Linked DNA regions of Ovis aries. The protein of the gene in region 1 interacts with the protein of each later gene in a pairwise test. Links are inferred from orthologs where the notes say so. Each region holds a gene or a part of one and is shown in the gene's direction. Other genes may lie near its edges.

The links. The genes of interacting proteins can lie anywhere in the genome.
Region 2: the proteins of CREB3L1 (region 1) and PLP1 interact in binary tests that used the Homo sapiens proteins (3 or more experiments, as listed by UniProt). The two-hybrid records come from large-scale screens. The link is inferred for Ovis aries from reciprocal best matches to the Homo sapiens genes CREB3L1 and PLP1.
Region 3: the proteins of CREB3L1 (region 1) and SLC35B4 interact in binary tests that used the Homo sapiens proteins (3 or more experiments, as listed by UniProt). The two-hybrid records come from large-scale screens. The link is inferred for Ovis aries from reciprocal best matches to the Homo sapiens genes CREB3L1 and SLC35B4.

Annotation. Positions count from the first base shown.
Region 1 is NC_056068.1:75,243,579-75,247,228, forward strand, and holds part of CREB3L1 (cyclic AMP-responsive element-binding protein 3-like protein 1), read left to right. Parts: intron 1-407; coding exon 408-486; intron 487-2,577; coding exon 2,578-2,735; intron 2,736-3,381; coding exon 3,382-3,531; intron 3,532-3,650.
Region 2 is NC_056080.1:129,387,493-129,391,142, forward strand, and holds part of PLP1 (myelin proteolipid protein), read left to right. Parts: intron 1-575; coding exon 576-837; intron 838-1,905; coding exon 1,906-2,074; intron 2,075-2,520; coding exon 2,521-2,594; intron 2,595-3,314; coding exon 3,315-3,380; intron 3,381-3,650.
Region 3 is NC_056057.1:99,624,428-99,628,077, reverse strand, and holds part of SLC35B4 (nucleotide sugar transporter SLC35B4), read left to right. Parts: intron 1-2,942; coding exon 2,943-3,024; intron 3,025-3,243; coding exon 3,244-3,304; intron 3,305-3,650. UniProt on the Homo sapiens protein: Antiporter that transports nucleotide sugars across the endoplasmic reticulum (ER) membrane in exchange for another nucleotide sugar.

The DNA of each region.
Region 1 (3,650 bases):
TGGCAGTGTCTCTGGCAGCGTAATCTGCCAGACATTACATTATGGGGGTCTCATGGCAACACACACACCCAGGCCTGCATGGTATTCACAGTCGGTGTAGGGTCATTGTCCTCCAAACAAGACGGCCCTGGGCTCAGAGGCCACGGGAAGCCCTTCTTCCCTGAACTCGGGAGCTAGAGGATGTTCCTGGGCCCCCACTCTCTTCCCTGAGGCCTGTCTTGCCTTCTCTAAACACAGGAACGTGCCTCTGCTTCCTCTGGGATATGCCTGGAACCCTGAGCCCAGCTACTTTCTTAATGCTGTAGGGCAGACACCCCCCGCCTCAAGGCCCAGGGAGGGAGGGAAGTTGGCGGGCCTGGTGGGGACAGGCCCCCGGAGCAGCTGTTGGAGCCCTGCCTCTTCCGCAGGCCCCAGGAGAGATGACTCAGCTGCCAGTGATCAAAGCTGAGCCCCAGGAGGTGAACCAGTTCCTCAAAGTGACACCAGGTGAGTGTGTCTGGAGGGGGGCTCTTCGTCTCCAGTCTTGGACAGACCGCATTCCTTACCCCTCAGTTCAGCCCCGTCTCCCTCAAAACGTCCCTTTTCTCCCCGTGAGTCTCTCCTCCCTTCTGTGCCCATTCTCCGGCCCTCCAGTCCCCTTCCTACCCATTCTACAGCTGTCGTCACTGTTATCGCCACCTTCTCGCCCTGTTTGCCAGTTTCCCCTCCCATCATTCGCTAACTGAGGTCCTCTCCGTAGCCATCAGCCCATCCTTTTACTCATTTATCCGTCCATCTGTCCATTCTTCCATCTATCCATTCATCCACCCATCCAACGAGAGTACATTGGGCCTCTCCTAGTTCCAGGAACTGGGGACACAGAGAGAGAAAACAGTCGTTGTACCCAAGGAGCTCACACAGTAGGGTCACGGACAAACCACTAAATTATACAGTTGTGTTATGGGTTAAAGATGACAGATCCCAGGAAACACCTCCCCAGATCTGACAGGAGAGAACAGAGGGAGCTTCTCAGATTGAGCAGGAGAGAGAACTAACTTAATCTCTCCAATCCAACCTCATTCATTCATCCAACACTGATTAAGCATCAACTGTGTATCAGGCTCTGGGCTAACCATCCCAAGGTTCAGGAAGATGAACAAGGCCCAAGTTTCATCCTCAAGTTACTCACAACAACCTCTGACAGAAGACAGAATTAACTGGAGGTAGAAAGGGACCAGTGTGAAAACACCTTACATCATAAAGCACAGTCACATCCATCAGCCCACTGCATCCTCCCAGCTCCATACAGGGAGTCATTCCACCCCCAGTTAAACAGGGAAGTGAGGCTGGGAGGTGATAAGTAAGCATGAATATAGGTCACATAGTTGTGGGGTACAACAGTCAGGACTTGAACTCAGGTCTGACTCCAAGTTCAGTGCTCTTTACAGTACGGCATCCACGAGAGGCAGATGACACCAAAGAAGAGAGAGGGGCCTCCTGTAGGAGGCGGTGGGGGGCAGAGCCCGGAAGGACGCAGTGGTTCCTCCCAGTCTCAGCCCAGCTCTGCGGTGCAGTGGGCTCCAGATTCCCACGTGTGTGTGCACGCGTGCTCAGCTGTGTCCGACGCTGTGCATCCCAGGGACTGCAGCCTTCCAGGTTCTTGGTCCTCTGGGCTTGGCCCAGGCCTCTTCCCGATGCTGCGGCCCAGAGAGGCAGCAGGGAAGGCATGCTGGGGAGAGCAGTGCTCCTGGCGGGTCTGCTGAAAGCCCTGTTACCCTGAGGTGGGAAATAGACACCCTGGTGTTCTGAAATGGAAAGAAAGGAAAAGAGGCTGCCGCTTGCCCTGCCTGATCCCCGTGGGTCTCGCTGTGGGCAGACTCTAGTCATCTCCTGGGGTTGCCAAGTTGGAGTGTCACAGACCCTGAGCCCTGTGAAGTCAGGGTTTAGTCACTAAGCCGTGTCCGACTCTTGCAACCCCAGGGACTGTAGCCCGCTAGGCTCCTCTGTCCATGGGATTTCCCAGGCAAGAATAGTGGAGTGGGTCGCCATTTGCTTCTCCAGGGGATCTTCCCGACCCAGGGACAAGGAGCCCCGAGAATCCAACCTCTGTGTTATCCCTGCCAAGTATTAGTGTTAGCCACTCAGTCATTTCCAACTCTGCGACCCCATCCACAGACTACACCAGGCTCCTCCGTCTGTGGAATTCTCCAGTAAAGAACACTGGAGTGGGTAGCCATTCCCTACTCCAAGGGATCTTCCCAACCCAAGGAGGGAACCCAGGTTTCCTGCATTGTAGGGGGATTCGTTATCGTCTGAGCCAACAGGGAATTCCCACCAAGAATCGGGTTTAAAGGAGCTGGGCTTGGTGGAGTCAGAGAGGGCATGGCCTTCAGATATTGTCTTCTGGGATGCCAACTCTACTTTCTGACACGCTAGGGTCCAGGGGTGGGGGTGGGGGGTGTCTTCTGACGTTCTAGGGTCAAGGCCGGAGCAGTCTGCCCACATGCCTTTGGGACCGGCTTAGGCCCCCGCTGTGCTGAACTCTGTCTGCCCGGAGCTGGGGCGCCCGGCTAACCTGGTTTCTCCTACTCCCCGCAGAGGACCTGTTGCAGATGCCCCCGACGCCCCCCAGCAGCCACGGCAGCGACAGCGACGGCTCCCAGAGTCCCCGCTCTCTGCCCCCCTCCAGCCCTATCCGGCCCATGGCCCGCTCCTCCACGGCCATCTCCACCTCTCCACTCCTCACCGCCCCTCACGTAAGCGGCTGGGGCCGGACTGACCCCAGAGTCGAAGAATCCAGTGTCTGGGGGGAGCCCTAAACCTGATCCCACCCATATCAGAACACAGGAGGCGCCTGCCCCACAGATGGGAGTGAAGATCTTTTAATTGTGCTTGGGGATGAATAGGAGACAGGAAGAGTCCAGGAGGCCTGCTGAACCCGCTGGTGGCCAAGCTAGGTCTACAGCTTAACATTCCTGACCTCCAGGGGGACGGCCCAGGCTGCCTCCAAGGAGCACTGTCTGCAGAGCAAAGTTCAGGAGGCCCAGGAGCCCTGGGACGGGTTGAGGAACCCTCAGTCTAGAGGTGCTAGGTGTCCGAGGTGGGTGCTGTTCACGGGGCCCTGGACAAGTAAGCTCTGAGGCTGTGGATTCCACGATGGGATCTAGAGACCAGCCCTTCCCAACAGTATATTAAGGGCCTAACATGCCAGGCTGCCAGCAACATCCTCAGCACTTGTGACATGTTACTGGATTTAATTCAGATCCGCCCCTCTTGCAGATGAGGAAACTGAGGTTCAGCGAGCTGGGTGCCTTGCCAAGGTCATGCCCAGGGTAAATGGCTGAGCTCGGATTTGAATGCAGGGCTGTCTGGTTTCTAACTAGTATGTCCCCCTTGCCACAGAAATTACAGGGGACGTCGGGGCCGCTGCTCCTGACGGAGGAGGAGAAGCGCACCCTGGTTGCTGAGGGCTACCCCATCCCCACCAAACTCCCCCTCACCAAAGCCGAGGAGAAGGCCTTGAAGAGAGTCCGGAGGAAGATCAAGAACAAGGTAGAGCACGAGGCAGACCCTAGCCCTGCCCTGGGGCTTCCTTGGGGGTGGGGCTCTGCTCCCCTGGCCGTGCCAGTCCTGAAACTGGGGAGCCCAGGAAGTGGATACATGGCATGGTA
Region 2 (3,650 bases), on another chromosome or scaffold:
AGAGAACTTGCCGGAGGCAGACTGATGAGACAAGAGGCCGGCCGCTGCTCTCGTTTCACCACACCACTTGAGTGTGCTCTGGCCCAGTACTAAGCCTCTCCTGTTTCTAGAGCAAGTTAGGCTCTATTTCCTTCATCCGTCTTCCTTCTTACCTAGCTCCTCTCTCCTCTCTCCTCTGAGGGAGCATCTCTGAAGGGTCAGGCCAAGGAAAGTAGGGTCCCAGTTCTTCAGGTCACAGGGTAAGCCAAATGTGGGGGAGGAGCATCTTCTTTTACTTCAATAAGTGTTAGTTGCTCAGTCGTGCCTGACTCTTTGTGACCCTATGGACTGTAGCCCGCCAGGCTCCTCTGTCCATGGGATTCTCCAGGCAAGAGTACTGGAGTGGGTTGCCATTCCCTTCTCCAGTTACTTCAATAAGTACAAGGTAGAAGCCTAAAGGAAGAACCTAGTGATTCCCCTAAAGCAACCCTAGCCTTGTTTAGGAGCCTATTCAAGAGTCCAACTGACTTATGCAGCAAGGGAACCAGGTCCTCCATGCATAAGATTTTCTGGCTTTGTGTTATCTGTTAACACAGGATCCATGCTTTCCAGTATGTCATCTATGGAACTGCCTCTTTCTTCTTCCTTTATGGGGCCCTCCTGCTGGCCGAGGGCTTCTACACCACCGGCGCAGTCAGGCAGATCTTTGGCGACTACAAGACCACCATCTGCGGCAAGGGCCTGAGTGCAACGGTAACAGGGGGCCAGAAGGGGAGGGGTTCCAGAGGCCAACATCAAGCTCATTCTTTGGAGCGGGTGTGTCATTGTTTGGGAAAATGGCTAGGACATCCCGACAAGGTGATCATCCTCAGGATTTTGTGGCAATAACAAGGGGTGGGGGACAACTGGGCATGAGTCTGTGGCCTCATCCCCACCCAAGGCTGGGTCCTCTCTAGGGGCCTGGCTTCTGAGTGAGGACCTGATGGCTACGGCCAAATGAGAAGGTCAGGAAGAACGTGGTGCCCAGCCGGCTTAGCCTCACTTTTCAAAATGTCCCTAGAAAATTTCATCTCAAAAGGGAAAGCCTGAGTTATGTGGGGTGCTTCATACAATCAGACCATTTCTAAGCCATCTACCGGTACCTCTTTGATCCCTTCCTAGCTGGGACCACAACAAGAGTAGATCTGACTGCCTAAGAATTTGAAATGTTACTCAGTGGATTGAGATGTAGGTTCCTGATCTGACAGGGAGGGTGGATCATAGAAATTGACTCTGAGATGGAATCCATACTATTCTGGGATCCTACATTGTTGAAGGTCCCAGAGGGAACTAGCATAGATCTGCATGTTTAAGGCCTTATCTGTCAGAGGGCTATTATGCTTCTAGTGAGGTACACATTGGTTTCCAGCCTCTAGAGTTAAAGACCATTTGGGGGCTGAACATCTGGGGGTTGTGCTGTTATCTTTTGTGGCTAGCAGTTGGCTTAGAAAGGTTTTTGGATTGGAAATTGAAATCTCTTATTGGCTTTGTTCAATAACTAGGGATCCAAAGTCCTTTGACAAGGGACATTTTCTAAGCTCAGCCTAAGGCATTTAAATGGCACGACTTTCTTTCAAGATCTTTTTTGATTTCTTCACACCTTTTCTGTCAAAACAATCTCCCGAAGCCTTTCTAACCCAGGGGTCCTCCTCACTCCAACCCCCACCCATTCTCCCCCTCCCCGTCATTACTTGGGGCCAATTCTCTAGTAGATAAGATACTGCCAATGACATTTGGCAAAGGTGCCCCGCTTACTAATTTTATTTGGCGGAGATCCCTGAAATCTGGTTTCATGTCTGGCACATGCCATTCCAGGATCTCTTTGTTTACATTTCAATGTCTGCAGACTGACACTGATTTCTAACCGCTCCATGTCAATTGTTTTAGTTTGTGGGCATCACCTATGCCCTGACCGTTGTGTGGCTCCTGGTGTTTGCCTGCTCTGCTGTGCCTGTATACATTTACTTCAACACCTGGACCACCTGCCAGTCTATTGCTGCCCCCAGCAAGACCTCTGCAAGTATAGGCACTCTCTGTGCTGATGCCAGAATGTATGGTGAGTTAGGGCGGCTTGGCCCTCCTACTCCCTATCGAAGCATGATATATTTGGTTCTTAGGCTAAGGAGGGTGGTAACTATGGGGAGAAATAAGAAGTATGGGTGCTTGGATCTTAGTTCGTTAATCCCTCTCCACTGAAACCAGAGAGATTTCTTCCCTGAGAAGGGAACTTGTTGGAAGTGGTGGCAGTTTTCTTGGCTGTTTGCACTCCTCTCTTAGTTGACTGCTGTTCTGAAACCAGAAGCAGCCCATTTCAATAACAAACAGAAAAGTTTGCAACTGTTCAATACCACCTTCTATTTTTTGAGTAAATCTTTAGAAAAGAAAATCCTGATAATTAGCAGGACCCAACTTTTCAGCCAGGATGATTAAAGACGAAAGAAGTTCTCCAGGTAACCCCAAAGCTCTGTGAAGCTTACCTTGTGATATTTGTCTCTTACTTAGGTGTTCTCCCATGGAATGCTTTCCCTGGCAAGGTGTGTGGCTCCAACCTTCTGTCCATCTGCAAAACAGCTGAGGTGAGTGAGCCACTGGGTTATTTTACAGTCAAATCGCCCAAACTGTAACATTTCTATCCATCTTGGATTTTTAGGACTACAGTTTCTCTTTGCTGGGTTTTGAGTTAGCAGATTGCCTTCTATGAAATATCGCCTGAGCCAGTGAGCGTATACATGGTAAAATATCTAGTTTCCTAAAAACAGCAGATAAAATCTTCCATTCTAAGGCTTCCTCTCTTAAAAGAGAAATTTGTAGCTTTAGGTAAAGATAGAGCTTAATGGCAAAATCCCCCAAGTGAACATTTTTATTCTAAAAAACCTTATCAAGGAAATGAGTTGTGCACAGATATTCATAGATTTTATAACACATATTTTGTTGGGAACTTCTCAATCTCATTTAAAAAGGAAGTACATTTGAAAAAGGAAAACACTGTATTGAAAGTGGATATTATGCACAAATGCAGCAGGGGAATAAAAGGAAGGAAGAAGGCAGTAAACTATTTCTTTGAAAGCAAAATGTTTTGCGATCCCAGGCACAACCGTGGGGAACCAGTTGATTATTTGGGAGGACTATATTATTTTGTGAGTATTCTATGTTCTGGGTGCTATGGGTACACGGAAGAATGGGAGGCCTATACTCTGGGATGTGATAAGTTAGTTAGAGACGCCAAATTAACACACAAAGAAATATCAGCACCTTCTGAAAGTTGCAAGACCCAGTTCTTCTGCATTTTCTTACAGTTCCAAATGACCTTCCATCTGTTTATTGCTGCATTTGTGGGGGCTGCAGCCACACTGGTTTCCCTGGTGAGTTGTCTTTGAATGATCTTGGCAAATAAATGGTCCTGGGATAGCTTGGAGACAGCTATCCTGAAAGGTAAAAAGATAGATTCCTTCTAAACTTGAAATGCTGGCGAGAAGCTCCTGGACAGAGACAGCAGAGTATGGAGACTATGTCTTTCTGCTTTGGGTTGGCAAGGCTGAAAATTTTCAAAAATGAGATAGGAGCAAGCAAAGTGATATGAGGGAAGAGGAGGAAAGAGATTTGTGGCCAAGAAATAAGATATTGGGACTTCG
Region 3 (3,650 bases), on another chromosome or scaffold:
TTTTCTCTGTGTAGAATTAATAGACTCCTGTCATTAAATCTTTAGTACCATACTAACGTGTGAAGCCAGGCTTCCCTGGTGGCTCAGTGGTAAAGAAATCTGTCTGCCAATGCAAGAGCCCTAGGTTCAATTCCTGGGTTGAGAAGATCCCCTGGAGAAGAGAAGGGCAGCTCACTCCAGGCTTCTTGTCTGGGACAGAGGAGCCTGGCAAGCTATAGTCCACAGAGGGTCAGACACAACTTCGCAACTAAATAACAACAGTAACTTATGAAGCAATTGATCTAGAACTTTACTGTCCCGCATGGTCATCACTGGCTACATGTGACTATATACTAAGACATATATGTGGAGTTTAGAAAGATGGTAACAATGACCCTGTATGCGAGACAGCAAAAGAGGCACAGATGTACAGAACAGACTTTTGGACTCTGAGGGAGAGGGTGGGATGGTTTGGGAGAATGGCATTGAAACATGTATACTATCATGTAAGAAACGAATCGCCAGTCTAGGTTCGATGCAGGATACAGGATGCTTGGGGCTGGTGCACTGGGATGACCCAGAGAGATGGTATGGGGAGGGAGGTGGGAGGGGGGTTCAGGATTGGGAACTCATGTACACCCATGGCGGATTCATGTTGATGTATGGCAAAACCAAGACAATATTGTAAAGTAAAATAAAGTAAAATAAATACAAATTTTTTTAAGTAAATAAAATTAAATATATAGTTTCTCCATCTCTCTAGTCACATTTTAAATGTTCAGTAGCCATGTGTGACTAGTAGTAACCATATTGGAGAGCCCAGGTGTGGAACATTTCCAGATTTACCAAAGTTCTGTGGGACAGGGCTCTCCTAGGAAGCATACAGCATAGTGAACTAAGGAATAATCATACCCATTACAAAGAAGATTCCTAACAAAGGCCCAAGTGGCCAAGAAGAGGCAAGGAAAAGTTTTAGGACTGGTGTTTGTGGCTATCACGAGCAGCTCACTCTGGGTACAGTTGGGAAGTATCAGAAGTACATGAGGGACTTTCCTGAAGGTCCAGTGGTTAAGACTTCACCTTCTAATTCAGGCAGTGCGGGTTCCATCCCTGGTTGAGCTAAGATCCCACATGACCCCAAAGCATAAAACAGAAGCACTATTGTAACAAATGCAATAAACACTTTAAAATGGTCTCCATCAAAAAACAATCTTTAAAAAAAAAAGTAGCAGTACCTGGGATGCTGTTTCCAGGGATTTTTGTCTCACCTTCGTTCAGAGCCTCACCCCTCACACCCAAGGAGGAGGGGCAAGGGGCAGAGACAGCACATACCGGCCGGAACGTTTCTTAGGGAAAGTTCAGCCTCACTGTTAGGACCAAAAATGTGAGTTGGTGCCAGCTTTTCAATGTAGTCCATACCCAATCCCAGTACTGGAACTCTGTACCAGCTTGGAAAGTAGCTGTCAGCTCAGCATGGGAACCTAGGGTTTTTTAAGTAAAAAGGACTGGGTCATAAAAAGGATAATTGTCCTATCCTGCTGGCTCCTGGTGATGAGCTCTTTATCTCCCGAGGCTCATATATTCCCCAGATGAGAACACCCTCGTAGTTGATTGCTTTTCTAGGCTCTTCTGTTCAAGCACACAGAGATAATGCTCAGGCTCATTACCTTTGAAGTGACCCCTGTGCTTCTTGGTAGTGTAAAATTCACATTGGGACAGACCTGTGGTCTTTATAACCTTTGATTTTGGTGCATAGCAGGGATATGGAAGAATTTACTATAAAAGGAATGCATTAATATTCTGACATACCCCAAATGTCAGGGGCCTTTATCAAACATCCAATTTTTCCTTAAGAACCTGTTCTGAGTCTGTTATCTCTCTCTCTTTTTGACTCAGTCCAGTAGGTCTTACCCAGAGAGCAGAAACTTCTCTAAGCTAACTATCTATATCATGGATTAGTCATTTAGCATCTCCTTTTGCTTATCTTGAGTAGTACCCCTTCAAGTTTATATGTGTTCCCCACTATAGACCAAACCTCTATTCACCTTAACTGTGTTCTTCATGATTGTTCAGACCTCTGTCTCTGATCATTGCAGACTGAAGAGCTCCCGTCTGTTTATACATCTGGGGCAGCAGTGCCTGTCTCCTCACCCACCCCTCTTCTCTAGAGGGGTGCTTTTGGCTCCTTGCCCCACCCCTTGGCCGGTTCTTAGTCACCCCTTGGCCTTTTTCTGACACGCTGTGACCAGAACTATACAAAATATTTCAGTAGAAAATTTCAGATTTTCTGAAGGTTTTAACACCTTTTTATTGTCGCCGGAAGCGTTTTGCTTCACCAAGAGCCTGAAAGGGATGTTAATTGATACTATTATAGTTATTGTGAAATGCCACCGTTATTCCTGCTAACAGTCCTATTGGTTTAGTATTACTCGCTTTATCCAACTATGCCCACATTTAAAAACAATATTTAAGTCATTCAGAGACATTAAGACAGCACCCTCCCCTGAAAAGGGACAGTTGAATTCTTTTCTGAAGGTGGAATCCTGCTGCTTGTCCTGGTAGTCCATCTGTCCTGTTCTTCCCCTGCAGGCTGTGTCTCTTCACACTATGTTTGGGCCCCAGAAACCAGGAAAAGGAACAGGAATTCCGTATTAAGATCTGTCAGACTTTCATTTAGACACAAGAGCAGAATGGACTGTCGTGCCTGATCTGTCTTTTTTTGTTTTCTGATGAAACAGTCTGATGAAACAGTTTTCTGATGTACTAAGTCTTGGACACCGCCAGAAAGGGTGTGGTCTAGAAACGAGTCAGTATCCTGATTCTTTCACGCACAGACTTAGGTGGACTCTGCTGAGAAGTGATCCCCTTGATCATGTCTTGGTGATCTGTACGTTCGTGAACCACACTTTACTGTCAGCATCATGTGGAAATTCATATCTGTGCTCTTTTTATTATTTTTGCAGATACAGTATCTTCAAATATACCTCCATTGCCCTGGTGTCTGTGGGGATATTTGTTTGCACTTTCATGTCGGCGAAGCAGGTGGTAAGAGTCTGTTCACAAATGATTTCTATTCACTCCTCACCAGGGATGCCCAGGTACTTATTAATGATACAATAAATGTAAGTACTCATGTAATACAAGGATCTACATCTTTGAAAGAGAATTATGGAGGGAAATGGGTGACATAAATATTTTCCTTGTATCAAGGCCCCTTGCATGTAGTTCTGGTCTCTGTACCTCATATGTTTTTTTATTTCCTAGACTTCCCAGTCCAGCTCAGCTGAGAATGATGGATTCCAGGCATTTGCATGGTGGTTGCTAGGCAAGTACAGTAATTACAGTAAAGCTAATTGCCTCTGCAGTTCTGTTTTCAGAGTTTTCTCCTAAGGGATATGTTTCTTGGCAAGAAGCTTCAACTGAACAGATTATGCCATGGAAGAGAGAGACACCTTTAACTATATATCTCTGAACCTTAGTGTTGAAGAAACTAAAAAGAAAATGTCTCTGTTCAGGGTAGCATGTTCTACAACATGGATGTTTTTCCTGGTTGCCACTAGTGTAGAAAGAAGAGTCTGTGTCTAGTTGCCCGTCACACTCTCTGGGAACAGTGGGAGTGTCACCCATTTCTTTATGATCTGTCTGCTGAGCAGAAGCTTCTACAAAAGGAG